3 linked regions of the Arabidopsis thaliana genome follow. The main gene of each other region encodes a partner of the protein of the gene in region 2 in a complex. Each region holds a gene or a part of one and is shown on either strand. Other genes may lie near its edges.

The links. The genes of interacting proteins can lie anywhere in the genome.
Region 1: NRPB7 (region 2) and NRPB3 share a complex: the UniProt entries of both Arabidopsis thaliana proteins name them as parts of the RNA polymerase II complex.
Region 3: NRPB7 (region 2) and NRPB2 share a complex: the UniProt entries of both Arabidopsis thaliana proteins name them as parts of the RNA polymerase II complex.

Annotation. Positions count from the first base shown.
Region 1 is NC_003071.7:6,731,705-6,736,358, forward strand, and holds NRPB3 (DNA-directed RNA polymerase family protein), read left to right. Parts: upstream 1-1,829; 5' UTR 1,830-1,956; coding exon 1,957-2,405; intron 2,406-2,659; coding exon 2,660-2,897; coding exon of another isoform or gene 2,898-2,942; exon of another isoform or gene 2,943-3,052; coding exon of another isoform or gene 3,053-3,100; exon of another isoform or gene 3,101-3,505; coding exon 3,506-3,778; 3' UTR 3,779-4,115; downstream 4,116-4,654. UniProt on the Arabidopsis thaliana protein: DNA-dependent RNA polymerase catalyzes the transcription of DNA into RNA using the four ribonucleoside triphosphates as substrates. Component of RNA polymerase II which synthesizes mRNA precursors and many functional non-coding RNAs.
Region 2 is NC_003076.8:23,881,628-23,885,806, forward strand, and holds NRPB7 (DNA-directed RNA polymerase II), read left to right. Parts: upstream 1-1,728; 5' UTR 1,729-1,871; coding exon 1,872-1,987; intron 1,988-2,562; coding exon 2,563-2,728; intron 2,729-2,813; coding exon 2,814-2,864; intron 2,865-2,963; coding exon 2,964-3,029; intron 3,030-3,122; coding exon 3,123-3,191; intron 3,192-3,286; coding exon 3,287-3,349; 3' UTR 3,350-3,678; downstream 3,679-4,179. Other genes in the region: AT5G59170 (Proline-rich extensin-like family protein), read left to right, coding at 418-1,284. UniProt on the Arabidopsis thaliana protein: DNA-dependent RNA polymerase catalyzes the transcription of DNA into RNA using the four ribonucleoside triphosphates as substrates. Component of RNA polymerase II which synthesizes mRNA precursors and many functional non-coding RNAs.
Region 3 is NC_003075.7:11,536,367-11,544,210, reverse strand, and holds the start of NRPB2 (DNA-directed RNA polymerase family protein), read left to right. Parts: upstream 1-1,805; 5' UTR 1,806-2,010; coding exon 2,011-2,259; intron 2,260-3,035; coding exon 3,036-3,257; intron 3,258-3,359; coding exon 3,360-3,650; intron 3,651-3,760; coding exon 3,761-3,958; intron 3,959-4,049; coding exon 4,050-4,114; intron 4,115-4,217; coding exon 4,218-4,304; intron 4,305-4,381; coding exon 4,382-4,502; intron 4,503-4,597; coding exon 4,598-4,642; intron 4,643-4,734; coding exon 4,735-4,872; intron 4,873-5,005; coding exon 5,006-5,078; intron 5,079-5,243; coding exon 5,244-5,320; intron 5,321-5,398; coding exon 5,399-5,506; intron 5,507-5,592; coding exon 5,593-5,709; intron 5,710-5,801; coding exon 5,802-5,957; intron 5,958-6,038; coding exon 6,039-6,143; intron 6,144-6,226; coding exon 6,227-6,352; intron 6,353-6,445; coding exon 6,446-6,523; intron 6,524-6,616; coding exon 6,617-6,712; intron 6,713-6,801; coding exon 6,802-6,917; intron 6,918-6,992; and 8 more. Other genes in the region: AT4G21720 (defensin-like protein), read right to left, coding at 1-83, 181-219, 312-415, 625-678, 1,575-1,650. UniProt on the Arabidopsis thaliana protein: DNA-dependent RNA polymerase catalyzes the transcription of DNA into RNA using the four ribonucleoside triphosphates as substrates. Second largest component of RNA polymerase II which synthesizes mRNA precursors and many functional non-coding RNAs.

The DNA of each region.
Region 1 (4,654 bases), on a different chromosome or scaffold from region 2:
TATATTCATATATATATATATATATATATAAACAGTTGTTACAATCCCAATCATCATAAAATCTGTAGAGTCCTCTTCCAATCTTAACATCGTAGACAACGTTTGGATTTCTGCAAGTGGAGTGGGTACTTATTACTCTCCAGGTATTCCTGTCCTGCATGAAGTTGTTGTCAACTGTATAGAGTCCGTCTTCCTTAATAAGTATAGTGAAAGAGCTTGTTTCAAGGAACAGTAAATGGTTGTTGTCATAAAGCGTTGTCCACTCAGCAGCATTAAGCCAACTTTGGGTTGATGCTTTAAGTACATGTGCGACATCTGGCAAATATAGCATCAAAATATATTAGATTTGTAGATATATAAATAACTATCTTAGTTTTGCTACAATGTCTTCTTCAATTAGAATTTTCCAAGCATCAGTTCTATCACAAACCTTCTCCTAGATCTCCCTAGAATCCAGATCTGCTACATTCTTAGATTTTTAAATCTTGCCTAAGTGTTACAAATTCCATAGATCTTGCATTCCCTAAATCTTGATGTTCTAAAATTTCTAAATACAATGCCTCGATTTCCCAAATTCGCCACAGTATCTCGATGATCTCCTTCAAAACTAAAAGAGTTTTTAACTAACCAAATACTCAAATACTCCTAATTTGTATTCTTAACCCTTTAACCATAGCCTAAACAATACCCAATTTTTAAAATAATAAATAAACACTTACATTGTTTTTATTGCTTTCTTTGTAAACTATGAATTTTTTTTTGTATATATATATAATTTTATATAGATTTCACTATACATATGAAGAAAATTAATCAGACACATATTATTAGTTGCACTCTCATTTTCTTGGAAGTAGGAAAAATGATATAACTTGTTTAATTGTACAAACATTACCCAATTTTTTTTATTTTATTTTTGTCGTATTGTTTTGGCCGAACCATTTTCTTCTTTTATAAAATGGGAATTTTTGCATTCTATTTTCGTAGACAAAGAGTAAATTAATCATTTGTGAGAGATAATAATAAACTTTGGATGTTCTTGTCTAGTAGCTTAAAATAAAATTGAGTATTTTTGGTTTAGATAAATGTATAAATGGTGTCTAATGTATTCTTACCATTGGATGTTTGACAAATTACACATTTCTCCATTTTCTTTAGAGTAATCAAAGGGATAAGCATTGTAAGAGTTTATAACGATGGTCCTTGTGATGATCTAAATAATGCATTAGGCAGTGCTTGTTGATTAAAGAATGATGAAATCCTTTAACACTCACATGTTAAAATATTTGTTAACATCTTGTCCTTAATATTGTTAAAGAAACTTAACTAAACTTGTTAACATTTTGATTATGGGTGTCAAAATGGGTCAAAATTTATGGGTCAACTCAATTCAACTCAACCCATGAACTCTAATGAGTTCAAAATTTTGACTCAAATGAGTTGATGGGTCAAATGAGTTGATGAGTCAATTGGTTTGATGAGTAAAATTAGTTGGGTTGTAATGGTTAATGGTACTATGAGATCATTTCAAATTTTTTGATACATGGTGTTTTCCTCCCAAATATATGACTATAATATCACTAAATACTATGAGATCTCGTAGAGTTGTTGAGTACGATAAAAGAATCTATGAAAAAAGAACTTAAATAAAGAGGTATACGTTTGACAAAAAAAAAAAGAAAAAAGAAAAAGGAAAAGGTATAAAAAAAAACATTTGAGTTGGGCTTATATGGGCCTGTTTGAAATTTGGTGACATTACTTTTCGCCAAAAGAATTAAAAAGGCCCATATAGGCCCAACTTTAAACATTACTCTAATATTTATATCTTTCTCACTTTTGCTTTATTCTGATTTCTTCTCCTATCTCCTTCTCCGGCGAAGAAATTGAAAATTCATTATCCCTAAAACCCTAATAAAGGTCCAGAGAGTCGTCAGAAACCACCGATTAGCTTTTGAAATGGACGGTGCCACATACCAAAGATTCCCAAAGATCAAGATCCGTGAGCTTAAAGATGATTACGCCAAGTTCGAGCTTCGTGAAACCGACGTTTCTATGGCCAACGCTCTCCGTCGCGTAATGATCTCCGAAGTCCCTACCGTCGCAATAGATCTAGTCGAAATCGAGGTTAATTCATCTGTACTCAACGACGAGTTCATTGCTCATCGATTAGGTCTCATTCCTCTCACTAGCGAACGTGCTATGAGCATGCGTTTCTCTCGAGATTGTGATGCTTGTGATGGAGATGGACAATGCGAGTTTTGCTCTGTTGAGTTTCGGCTTAGTTCTAAGTGTGTTACTGATCAAACCCTAGATGTTACTAGTAGGGATTTGTACAGTGCTGATCCTACTGTTACTCCTGTGGATTTCACTATTGACTCGTCTGTATCTGATTCAAGCGAGCACAAGTAAGTCCCTTTTCATCATTAGATTGTTAAATGCAGAAATGTGGTGTTTCTTTTGTCATTATGAATCGATTGGAGTTGTGAAACGTTAGAGATTAAGCAATGGTGAAACAAAATTTGCATCTTTTAGCATTCCGAGGATGAAAAATACTTCCTTTCGATGGCCCTTTGCATGACTCTTCTTGTTCGTGATTGTTTGATGTTTAATTATGGTGGTTGTGTGGGTTAAAGACTCTGTTTTTGGTTTCGGGTTTCAGGGGAATTATCATTGTGAAACTGCGTCGGGGACAAGAGTTGAAGCTTAGAGCGATAGCGAGGAAAGGGATTGGGAAAGATCATGCGAAATGGTCTCCTGCAGCTACTGTTACGTTTATGTATGAGCCTGACATAATTATTAATGAAGATATGATGGATACTTTGTCAGACGAGGAAAAGATCGACTTGATTGAGAGCAGTCCTACCAAAGTGTTTGGCATGGATCCAGTCACCAGACAGGTTAGTTTTCACGTTTTGGAAGAATGCAGCTATACAAGTTTATAGCTTTGAGACTTAAATATGATTGAACTACTTTATAGACTGCCATGCCTTGAAATATATATATGTGATGTGGTTAGTGCATTTGCTCTTTTCTGTGCTTCTCTTTCTGTTAGATAGCACTACTTAGCTCTTTAGGAGAATTACGCCAGTCATCGGAATGAATCAAATAACTGCTAAACTTCTGGTACCAAACTGAAACATCTTTCTATATCTAATCACTGCAAATTATATGAATCACTTGGAGTATCTCTGTGCCAGTTGAACTTTTGTTTGTGATTTCATGTTAGAGATTTCAAATTATTCGAATGGTAAAGGGAATAAAGAAAGGAGAAGATATAGTACTTGTAGTACCTCTGTACCAGTTGAATTTTCTTGGAGATTTCATGTTAATGGTTCAGTGTTTACTAGGACTCACCACAACTGACAATTTTCCTTTGACCCGCTAGAGAACATTGTATATCATTATAACAGTTACAGTAGTTTATCGTTGGAATTTAGTATGCCATTTCTTTTGAAGTCTGTTGCTTGAATCATCACAACTGTAATTTTTATACTTTGCTTCTTAGGTTGTAGTGGTTGATCCTGAAGCATACACTTACGATGAAGAAGTGATCAAGAAAGCTGAAGCAATGGGGAAACCGGGACTCATTGAGATCAGTCCGAAAGATGACAGTTTTATATTCACTGTTGAGTCCACAGGTGCAGTGAAGGCTTCCCAACTGGTACTAAATGCCATTGATCTTCTGAAGCAGAAGCTTGATGCAGTCCGTCTCTCAGATGACACCGTAGAAGCGGATGATCAGTTTGGTGAACTCGGTGCCCATATGCGTGGAGGATGAACTCAAGTGATTAATTCGAGCTCTTTGTTATACCTGTTTGTTTCAGGTTTTGAGTTTCTTCTGGAGCAGACTGATATTAACCGTAGTGGCACTGTCTTGTTTGATAACATGTGAAGTGGCAGTCTTCTATTTGTTCTGGACCTCTGATCCCTCTGTTCCTGAATCTTGTTAAGTTTGGTTGTTGTTAGTTGTTAGACTCGCTCGTAACGAAAATAAACGCAAGGATTAAATTCAATACATTGAACAAGTATGATTAAAATGGAACAAGTATGTAGTTTAATCTTAAAATTCGTACCATTAACTGAAATGGAATGAAAGACTTTTGCATAGTGGATACCCAATTTAAAGCTCTTAAGTTCTTGAACTTCGATCACACAATAAGTTATGGTGAGTAGCTTCCCTTGGAATGAAACAAGAGACAAAAACTCAAAAGTTTTCGAGCTAATTCATAGGTCCGAAATGATGTCATGGATCTTAGATAAGAGAATTCCGGCATTGATTACTTGGACTAATTATTAACAATCAGATTCAATCAGTAAATCTCTCAATTCTGCTTCCAAAGTGGCAGTGATGACCGCTCGTATCGCTAGTCCTTACGCCATGAGAGGGGATGCCACATTTTCACGCATTGCTGAGTGGTGAGTCGAAAGTCCAGTGGTCAAATAGGTCCAGCCACAATTTTATTTTTTAAAATTATAGGCCACCACATTTTCGTAAGAAAGTAAGTATATCTATTTAGTTGGATCAATTATGGGATCGGCACATTAAAGTTTGTGCTTTTGTGGAGATAGAAAAATTTCACAGTATTCACAAATTGAGGTACTTTTACCTAATGTCGTTTTACAGTTTCATTTTTTACAACTTTGTAAAAAAAAA
Region 2 (4,179 bases):
CCAATTTCCTCAGTGTACATACTAAATTGTTCTGTATCCATACACACATATACTTGGGAAATCTTCGGTTTCATGGATTCTTCACAACTCGAAGCCTCTTTAAAAACAGATTCTTTGCTTAGTTGTTGTCGTCGCTGCAAATTATTTGACAAGTGGAGAGTTTTTGCAGAGCTAAAAAGCGAATACAAGTTGACCAAAAAAGGTCAAATCCCTGGTTCCATATGAAACTGTCAAACTTTGGACGTGCATGGATACAAAAGCTTCTGTCAGTTTACTTTCCTGGATTTAGGGTTTTAAAACCAGCTGTGAGGTTTGCTGCAATGTGGCAATGTCACTGCAATGTGTTGTATAGAGTCTTAAGTCCTCTGTTTACTTTAAAACCCGTATTTTAACTTGCTGCTATTCACAACAAGAAAAATGAAGTCTTGTCTAGCTACTTTTGCTCTCGCAGTGTTAGTAACACAAGGAAGCATTTTTAGTTTGTGTTTGGCCTCCTCTGCTTCTACAAACTCTGTTCCTAATTGGTTTCATCATTGGCCGCCGTTTAAATGGGGACCAAAATTTCCATATTCTCCACCTAAACCGCCGCCAATCGAGAAATATCCTCCACCGGTGCAGTATCCACCACCGATCAAGAAGTATCCACCGCCACCATACGAGCATCCACCGGTGAAGTATCCACCACCGATCAAGACTTACCCTCATCCGCCGGTGAAGTATCCTCCACCAGAACAGTATCCACCGCCGATTAAGAAGTATCCTCCACCAGAACAGTATCCACCGCCGATTAAGAAGTATCCTCCACCAGAACAGTATTCACCGCCTTTCAAGAAGTATCCTCCGCCAGAACAGTATCCACCACCGATCAAGAAGTATCCTCCGCCAGAACATTATCCACCGCCGATAAAAAAGTATCCTCCGCAAGAACAGTATCCACCACCGATTAAAAAGTATCCTCCGCCAGAAAAGTATCCACCCCCGATCAAGAAGTATCCTCCGCCAGAACAGTATCCACCGCCGATCAAGAAGTATCCTCCGCCAATTAAGAAGTATCCTCCGCCAGAAGAGTATCCACCACCGATCAAGACTTATCCTCATCCCCCTGTGAAGTATCCACCGCCTCCGTACAAGACTTACCCTCATCCGCCGATCAAAACTTATCCTCCTCCGAAAGAATGTCCTCCTCCGCCTGAACATTACCCTTGGCCTCCGAAAAAGAAATATCCTCCACCGGTTGAGTATCCGTCGCCGCCATATAAGAAATATCCTCCGGCTGATCCATAGTAACTCAAAACCAAACAAGGACGTGTTTGTCTATAAGTATATGTCTAGTTAAAAAACTGTTCTGTTCTTTCTGTTATGTTCTTTCTTTTTCTTATGACTTTCTGTTATGATGCATCAAATAAAGAATAAACTGTTCTGTTTTGAATTTGTTAAATAGGAGAGTGCAAGCTCAAGAACAAGCTGTTTCATAAATAAATAAAATATATTTTCTAAAATCAAGTAAAGTAAAAAAAAAATAGATATTGTACTAAATGAATAAACTTGATTCAACAAAGTTTTGTACGTTGTTATAATTTCACTTAAATAATTTAGTGCGTCAAAAAAACAAAATTAAAACGTAATTGGTCAAGGAAAAAAAAACAAGTCTCAAGGGAAAAGGAAAACAAAAAAAAAGGAAAATTTAATAAGCAATCTGGACCGTTCATACTTTTTAGATCTGACGGCTGACAGAGAACTACCATTGGGCATCTTTTATAAACAGAGAGATTTGTTTGATTCCGGTCGAACTCAAAACATAATTTGCTCTCAATAAGACATTAACAAAGTCCCAGAGGCAGAGAGAGAGAATCAGAGAGAGAGAAGTCGAGATGTTTTTCCACATAGTATTGGAGCGGAACATGCAGTTGCATCCTCGTTTCTTTGGTCGTAACCTAAAAGAAAACCTCGTATCTAAGCTCATGAAAGATGTCGAAGGCACTTGCAGGTTTTCTTTCTCTATTCACTTCTAGTAGAAAATCACCAATTTCGGATGCTTTAATCGCAAACCCTTTTCCTCAATTCTCAATTCGGATTCGTTTTCCTTAAGACAACTTCGAAAAAGTTGCATATTTTTTCGAACCCTAATCTCCGTCTAGTTCAATTTGTTAGGTTTTAGGGATTAGAGTGGATTAAATTCGAATAAAGATCGTTCTTTTAACTAAATTGTAGTCTTTCTCTGCTGCTTGTGACTAAAGTCTGATTTTTAGCAGAATTTTTTTCCAAAGGGATTTGCTTTGAAGCCTTTAGCTTTCTTAGGATTAAGATATGACTTCATCCAGCTCACTTAGATGCCTGATTGCAAATCATTCAGATCCAGTATCTTGTTTTGTATTTGATACTCAAGTCTAAAACTTTGTTCTTTAGTATAGTTCGCTTAATCCATTGCTTGTGACAGAGATTTGTATTTTGAGGCCTCTAGCTTTTTGTATTTGCTTTAGGTTTAAGATGTGAAGTTTCATCATTGCAATGTCATATTGATACTTATCAATATTTGCTCTTTTCGTTTTGTGGTATGGACAGTGGCCGACATGGATTTGTAGTGGCGATAACTGGAATAGATACAATAGGAAAGGGTTTGATCAGAGATGGGACTGGTTTTGTCACCTTTCCAGTTAAATACCAATGCGTCGTTTTCAGACCTTTCAAAGGCGAGATTTTGGAAGCTGTTGTCACTTTGGTCAATAAGGTAATGTATCTATATAGTCTTATTTTTTTAGTCAAATGTCTTTAGTGACAAATCAACCTTATGGATTTTCCTAATATTATCACAGATGGGATTCTTCGCTGAAGCTGGCCCTGTTCAGATTTTTGTGTCTAAGCATGTAAGCTTATGATCTTCCATCATGAATTTGACCTCGAGTTCATTTTTGATTCTAGGTGTTATGTACTTACTCTTGTTCTCCTCTCTTTTATCACCACAGTTGATTCCAGATGATATGGAGTTTCAAGCTGGAGACATGCCTAACTATACCACATCAGATGGATCAGTGTGTTTCTTTCTCTAGTTCTTATTTCCCAACAGTATTATATGTGTTTCATCTATCTTCAAGGAACTCATTTTTCCAATGCTTCTCTTGCAGGTTAAGATCCAGAAGGAGTGTGAAGTGAGACTAAAGATTATTGGAACAAGAGTTGATGCCACTGCGATTGTATGCACCATCTCCTCCATAACTCTAGTCACAATCCAACTTATAGTTTTTAGATTATTCTTATCAATTTACACATTTGTTTTTTGATTTTGCAGTTTTGTGTGGGTACCATCAAAGACGATTTTTTGGGAGTCATAAACGACCCTGCAGCGGCATAAAAAGTTTCAAGCAGATTTCAATTTTGGTCTTCTTTCTTTCACAGAGAATGCTGTCTTGTGATAAAGTTGTATTATAGTTGAAGTTTTGGATCTATTTAATCCGAAAGATTGGAACCACGCTTGTTGGATTTAACTTATATGCAAGTTTAGTGAACTTCGTATTTGATCAAAACTGTTGTCATTTTGAGAACAATATAGTACCGAGTAGTGGATCAAATTCTACATGTCTCAATGAAAATTGTATAATTTGAAATTGAATGGATGTTTCATTGATTGTTAGTTATATTGTTTCATATGTTGTGGAAGATATTGAAACTCTTGTTTCATACGTTGTGGTTCTGTTTATCAAATATTTGATAAATCTAAGAAAACATGTTAAAAGTCATCAATTGCTTCTCTCATTCATCAACTTTCCTTATAGGATTTGGTTTTTGGTAAGACCTCTTTGACTATCGAGTAAAATATCTAATTGTATGATATATTGACCAAAATGTACTAATTAAATTCATTGAAAGTTTTCTGAATTTTAACACATTCAATGAATTTGAAAACGCTTTTTTCAAATAAATTTCCATATAGTTTCATAACAATGATGAGTATGCAATCTATTCAATAACACATTCGTTCTCTCAGAGTCACAATCCCAACTTTGCTCTTTCTTTTAGAGTTTCACAAAATGGCTAAGCTCTCTACACCTCTCTACTTAATTTGTTTAGCATTCATCTTCACTAGAGATGTGTCTGCAAATGATTATAGACAGGCAAGTTCAAGTTCCTACTCTGTTTTGTGAGATTCCCATATGAACAACACATCTAATAATACCTCTCTCT
Region 3 (7,844 bases), on a different chromosome or scaffold from region 2:
GGTGGTGGTGGTTGTGGCTTTGGCGGTGGTGGTGGAGGTCTCTTTGGTTTCACCTTATTGACTATCTCAGCTTCAACATCAAACTGCATGATGACAAAAAAATACAGCCACACGGGTTCAGAGAAGTAGAGTGTATTTCCAAACGCATCAAATTATTGAGGTTGAAGCAAGGAAACAAACCTTGTAACCACAGCCTGCTACACATGCGTGAAAGCATTCCTGAATTTAAAAACAGAGTTACATGTACAACAATTAGATACGGTTCAGTCCATTTCTCTTTTTTGAAGAAAAAGATTCATTGTGTGAATTACCTCAGAGTATTTGGCATCTCCAGGAGAACGATCTATAACAGCAGTCCATGGTCTGTCTTTTAGCACAGGATCTTTGTAGCAAATTTCACTGCAGTCTCCTACACCTATAGAGAGTACACTACTATTACACCAATTCATTAACTTGGAAACTTAAACCTGAAAAGCAGAAGATACTCTTCATGAACATGTAATTTCGTTATGTAGGAGACAAGCTTGGTTTTTATGATGTTCCATAGTGAGGACAAATCTAACCGCTCATCATTTCATCAACAGTTTCGTTACAGATTACAAAGAATTAAAAAGAAATGCTTACAATCTTCCCATGAGTCACTATCGGCATCACATCCCTTTTTGCAGAATACTCTCCCTACACAGATTCAGGAATTACATTAGTGCTATGGAAAAAATGTCATACAACAACATGGAGGATAAACACTGATGCTAAAGCTGAAAAAAAACCCAGATTGCTATGGAAAAAATGTCATACCAAGCATAAGTTCAGCTAGCTTTTGTGCCCATGAATGAAATTCAGAGATCAGAGAATGAAAAGCTTTCATCAGAAAGACAGAAACAGCCAAACCAAGCCCTTTAACTAGCTTAAGCATACATATATGTCAATAGTTCATAGAAGCAACATGGATACAGAAGCATCTTTGATACCGTTACTTTGACTCTCTCCCTTTAAATTTCTTTCAGTTCATAAACTACAACTTATTATCTTCCACTTTCTCCTACTAATTTAACCATTTTCTTAATTACATGATAGAAAAGCTCTAAGAACTCTGCATAATCTCCCTTACTTGTAATCAATATAAATGTTGCCGATTCTTCAATCTACATTATTCAATTACGAGTCAAGATGGATGTTCTTAAATACTTGCAACTACAACTATAAGTTGTCTCTGGACCAATCTAACCAAAGAAGCGATTCTTGACCAAAATGTTTAGTATAATCGTAATGAAGTAGAGTGCACCAACAAATAATTAGGGTTTATGAATCAAGAAATCAATCAACAATCCAATTTACAGATCCCAATTTCAATTCCAAACAACAACAAAAAGAAGAAACACTCGGAAGACTAAATTGACTTTTGAATCAAGAAATCAATCACCAATCCAAATCAGAACCCAATCTATCAGCTCCAACAACAGATTCTTATCATCATCATCGAAAACTAAACCATCAAAAAACAACGGACCACGAACATCAAAACTCAAAAACGAATCCGATTCACACAAATTAAGAGTCCAGATATTACATACATGGAAGCTGCGTAAATGCTGAGTACTTATTCGTGCATTTGCTCCCACACGGCGGCGTCCATTGCTGCGGTATCATCTCTCTCTCCCTTCCTCCGCCTTCACTCTCCGTCTCTCTCTCTCTTCTTCCGAAAATATCGCTGACGCCACAAAAATGTAGCCGGAGACTTTTCTTTATATAGTAAGGGTGTTTCCGTCATTTAACAATCCAAGCTCTCTAACAACCAAACCGATCCTTTTTATAATCCCATTTAATCAAACCGGTTATTGATACAAACCGGTTATTTCCATAAACTTAAGCCGACTTCTCTCTCTCGAGCCTTTATAAACTCACAATCTCACAAAGCCGTCTCATTCTCTGCGTCCTGTCTCTCTCTTTGTCTCCGAGAGCTCGAGTAGTGAAGTTTGCTGTGCTCTAATCTTCAGAGAGTGAGAATAAATGGAGTACAACGAATACGAACCTGAACCTCAATATGTAGAAGACGATGACGATGAGGAGATTACCCAGGAGGACGCGTGGGCTGTTATATCTGCTTATTTCGAAGAGAAAGGTCTCGTTCGTCAACAGCTGGATTCGTTTGATGAGTTTATTCAAAATACTATGCAAGAAATCGTTGATGAGTCTGCTGATATCGAGATCCGACCTGAATCTCAGCATAATCCTGGCCATCAGTCCGATTTTGCGGAGGTTGTTTCCTCGTTTTTGTTTTTTTCTAGGGTTTCTATGGGAATTCGAAATTATGTGCGGGTTTATCGTGTTTGTGGCGGTTTTAAAGTGTTTCGATTTGAGCTTCTACCGTTTGGGTGCGATTAGGGTTTACCTGAATCTTATTGATGTCCCGAGATTGTCTTGTTATTCAATGCTTGAGCTATATGCTGTTCAAGAGTCAAAAAATGATTTTGACTATTGATGTCCGGATATTGACTTTGAGCTGGTAATCTTATTAATGTCCCGAGATTATCTTTGAGTTAATGCTTGAGCTCATCTCTTTCGAGGAGGATTTATAGTATTGGTTGAAACTCAAATCAGTTTTGGCACTATAAAAATGAGTTTGGTATCTTTTTTTGCTGTCCCTTTGGTCTGTTTTCCTGCAGACAGTCTATTGTTAGCCCTTATCTGAGAAGCTTATCTCAATGATTTCCCATGATTATCTTTGTATTCGATGCTTGAGCTCTTCGCTTTTTTGAGGTGTATTTTCAGTGGTTTTGAATATTGGTTAAAGCTTAAATCAGTTTTTAAGTTTTGTTGCAATTAGGGTCTGCCTTTGTCGAGTAGCTAAGCTCATTGATTTTCCGAGATTATCTTTCCATTTAATGCTTGAGCTCTTCGCTTTTTTCAAAGTGTCCTTTCAGTGGTCTTTATTATCGGTTGAAGCTCAAATCATTTTTGACTTTGTGTGAGCTGAGATATAGCTGTTTTGCTATCTGTTTTTCTGTATGTCTGATATAGCTGTTTTCCTGCAGACAATCTACAAGATTAGCTTTGGACAGATTTATCTGAGTAAACCTATGATGACAGAGTCTGATGGAGAGACTGCCACCCTGTTCCCTAAGGCTGCAAGGTTGAGAAATCTCACATACTCTGCGCCTTTGTATGTCGATGTTACTAAGAGAGTTATTAAGAAAGGGCATGATGGTGAAGAAGTTACGGAGACACAGGATTTTACTAAAGTTTTCATTGGAAAGGTGTCCGAACTCAGTTCATTGTGTCACATTTATTTAGGTGTTTCCATGTACTCTACTGTTCTGATAGTAGAAATGTTTTCTTCTTGTTTGATTATTTGCTAGGTTCCCATCATGCTCCGGTCTAGTTACTGTACCTTGTTTCAGAACTCGGAGAAAGACCTGACAGAGCTTGGAGAATGTCCTTATGATCAGGGTGGATACTTCATTATTAATGGCAGTGAAAAGGTTCTGATTGCTCAGGAGAAGATGAGTACGAATCATGTTTATGTGTTCAAGAAAAGGCAGCCAAATAAGTATGCTTATGTTGGTGAAGTCCGTTCTATGGCTGAAAACCAAAATAGGCCTCCAAGCACAATGTTTGTGCGTATGCTTGCTCGTGCTAGTGCAAAAGGGGTAAGAGAAAGCTAATTAGTCTTAACTCTACTATATCCTTCCTCGAAATTTATTCTTTAAATTCTAGATAATGGTAAATAAATTACATTCTATGTTGCAAATGGATGCAGGGTTCATCTGGACAGTATATTCGATGTACTCTTCCATACATCAGAACAGAAATTCCTATTATCATAGTATTTCGTGCACTGGGATTTGTTGCCGATAAGGACATATTGGAACACATCTGCTATGATTTTGCCGATACCCAGATGATGGAGTTGCTCAGGCCTTCCTTGGAAGAAGCTTTCGTTATTCAAAATCAGCTGGTATCCACTTTTTTTTCACTTGGTTAATGACATTTTATTATGCTTGAGGAATTGATCTTGCAATCACTTGATAACTTTCATATTACTTCAGGTTGCACTTGACTATATTGGAAAACGTGGTGCAACTGTTGGTGTAACCAAGGAAAAAAGGATAAAGTATGTGATAATCTAAACCAATTAAGTTGGACATTATGATCTAAGATGTCAACTATTGAGATGTTCACACTGGAGGTTTGCGATTGCAATATTATCATTGCAGGTATGCTAGAGATATCCTTCAGAAAGAAATGCTTCCTCATGTAGGAATTGGGGAGCATTGCGAGACAAAGAAAGCTTACTATTTTGGGTAGGTATTTAACTCACTTGTAATGTTTATAGACTTAACATGTTTCTGTGTTGCTCATATTATGCTATGATCCGTAGGTATATCATACACCGGCTGCTGCTTTGTGCACTTGGCCGAAGGCCAGAAGATGATAGGGATCATTATGGTAACAAAAGGCTGGATCTTGCTGGTCCTTTACTTGGAGGGCTATTTAGAATGGTTTGTTCCCGGCACACAATTATACACTCTTGGGGATTGTTGAGTATCAGTGTTTTTTTTATCTCTTACTGACCTAACATCTTCTCTACATGCAGCTTTTCCGAAAGTTAACAAGGGATGTGAGATCTTATGTTCAAAAGGTATCTTACATAGTTACTCTTTCTCGAGCCAAAGACTTTAGTATTAAGTTGTTATTCTGTGTTTGGAAGTCTGATTCATGTTTCTTTGACAGTGCGTTGACAATGGCAAAGAAGTCAATCTTCAATTTGCCATTAAGGCTAAAACAATTACCTCTGGCCTGAAATATTCTCTTGCTACTGGGAACTGGGGCCAGGCAAACGCTGCTGGCACAAGAGCTGGAGTCTCTCAGGTTAGGATAATTCTATGTTAATTATGTTTTTGAGTTCCAATAATTTCTTGATGTATGTTATCGGGTTTACTGTTTTGGCCTATTATAATTCATTGCATGATTTATATGGCTCTAAAGACTTAACTAACAACAGGTTCTTAACCGGTTGACATATGCTTCGACTTTGTCACATCTGAGGCGTCTCAATTCTCCAATAGGACGTGAAGGTAAAGCCTCGTTCTTTTCCTGCACTTCTATTTTGTCTCTGTGTAACTGTTCGTACAGTTGGTGTATTTTAGTCATGGTTCTCTTTATTATCCACATCCTTGCAATTTAGATTGGCTTGTACTTTTGTTTATCCCACTTGAATCTAATCAAGTCTGATATGCCAGGAAAATTGGCAAAACCAAGACAACTGCACAACTCACAGTGGGGAATGATGTGCCCTGCTGAAACACCTGAAGGACAGGTAAAATTGTTATATTTATAAAATAAGGGTGTTTCGGATTTTATAGTTCCATTGCTCATTGTGGCTTTGCTGTACCAGGCTTGTGGTCTAGTGAAAAACTTGGCTCTCATGGTCTACATAACAGTTGGGTCAGCTGCTTATCCTATATTGGAATTTTTGGAAGAATGGGGTACTGAGAATTTTGAGGTCTGTAGCATTTCACATTCAATTTCTTACCCAACATCTGCCTCCTTGGTTCTTGTGGTTTCCTGAAGGTCTTAACTTGAATATAGGAAATATCTCCATCTGTTATACCCCAAGCCACAAAAATCTTTGTCAATGGAATGTGGGTTGGAGTTCATAGAGATCCTGACATGTTGGTGAAAACGTTGAGACGTTTGAGACGAAGGGTAAGCATGCAGTTTCTTTCACGTTTCCATATATGCTAGTGAAAATATTGCAACTTTATGCAGAAGTGACATATTACTTTTTCCTCTTGCAGGTTGATGTCAACACTGAAGTTGGTGTAGTTAGAGATATCCGTCTTAAAGAGCTCCGGATATACACTGATTATGGACGTTGTAGCCGTCCGTTGTTTATTGTAGATAATCAGAAGCTCTTAATAAAGAAGAGAGATATCTATGCTCTGCAACAAAGGGTAAAATTCTAATTTTTACCTGTTATCAAAGTATCTTTTGTTATAAATTCCATTGTACCAATATTTGTTTTCATAACCCAGGAAAGTGCAGAAGAAGATGGTTGGCATCATCTGGTTGCTAAGGGCTTTATAGAATACATAGACACAGAAGAAGAGGAAACGACCATGATTTCCATGACTATCAGTGTGAGTAATGAAATGAAGATGTGATTAAATGAGTTTGTGGTGCACTAATTTCTGCAGAAATCTTACTCTTATGTTTGTTGTAGGATCTGGTTCAAGCTAGACTCCGCCCAGAAGAGGCTTATACTGAAAACTACACACATTGTGAGATTCACCCATCTCTGATATTGGGGGTCTGTGCTTCAATCATACCATTTCCTGACCATAATCAGGTACCTCTGTCTAAATGACTTTTCTATCAGAAGCGATTTCATTATGTAAATTCAGTTTCATGCTAACTAACCCTTTACTTTTTGATGTATTAGTCACCTCGTAATACATATCAATCTGCCATGGGGAAGCAAGCAATGGGAATTTATGTCACCAACTACCAATTTCGCATGGTATGTTCTAGGCTCTTAATTTGTGGTCTTTCTTGTCAGCTCTTGTTACATCACTCAATATTTTAAAGAAATTATTATTGTTCTGTCAACCAGGATACGTTAGCTTATGTTCTCTATTATCCACAAAAGCCTTTGGTTACTACAAGAGCTATGGAGCATCTTCACTTTAGACAACTTCCAGCAGGAATTGTAAGTTATTTTTGCTAGAAGTTTTTCAGAATTCAGCATTGCTCGTGTATCAAATCTCTCAAATGTTTTTTTTTCTTCTTCTTGTGCAGAATGCTATTGTTGCCATTTCTTGCTATTCTGGATATAATCAAGAAGATTCTGTCATCATGAATCAGTCTTCAATAGATCGTGGTTTCTTTCGATCCTTGTTCTTTCGGTCTTACAGGTGAGTATGCTATACTTTTGGACGTTTGCCTTCGGTCTTTCCATTTATTTATACTGCAATCACGTTTGCTGACAGAGATGAGGAGAAAAAAATGGGGACGCTTGTCAAAGAAGACTTTGGGCGCCCAGACAGAGGAAGTACAATGGTAAGAAAGTAATTGACACATGGTTCATACTTCAGTGGTGCTTTTTGTAAGTGAAGTTTAACACTTGGGTTTCTGCTGCAGGGTATGCGACATGGTTCTTATGATAAACTGGATGATGATGGTCTTGCGCCTCCTGTAAGTTTATAATTTATTGTTCCTTAATTATTTATTATCTGATATGATTAGGTGACTAATGTTAGAAAGCATATCATACAATCTTTTATTTTTGGTATAGGGTACTAGAGTTTCAGGTGAAGATGTTATCATTGGGAAAACCACTCCAATATCTCAAGATGAGGCTCAAGGACAATCATCCCGATACACTAGACGTGATCATAGTATAAGCTTGCGACATAGTGAAACTGGAATGGTGGATCAGGTAACTTTGGCTTTTCCTTGCAGTTAAGGGTTTAGAAAGTTTCAGGATTGAAATATGAAACTGATCAATTCTTGTAACTTCGTGTAGGTGTTATTGACTACAAATGCAGATGGTTTGAGGTTTGTGAAAGTGAGGGTCAGATCCGTGCGGATTCCTCAAATTGGAGACAAATTTAGTAGTAGACACGGTCAGAAGGGAACTGTTGGCATGACCTACACGCAGGAGGATATGCCATGGACGATTGAAGGGGTCACTCCGGACATTATTGTGAATCCACATGCTATTCCGTCTCGAATGACAATTGGACAGCTAATTGAGTGCATCATGGGAAAAGTGGCAGCTCACATGGGAAAAGAAGGAGATGCTACTCCCTTTACAGATGTCACGGTAACTTGCATTTTCC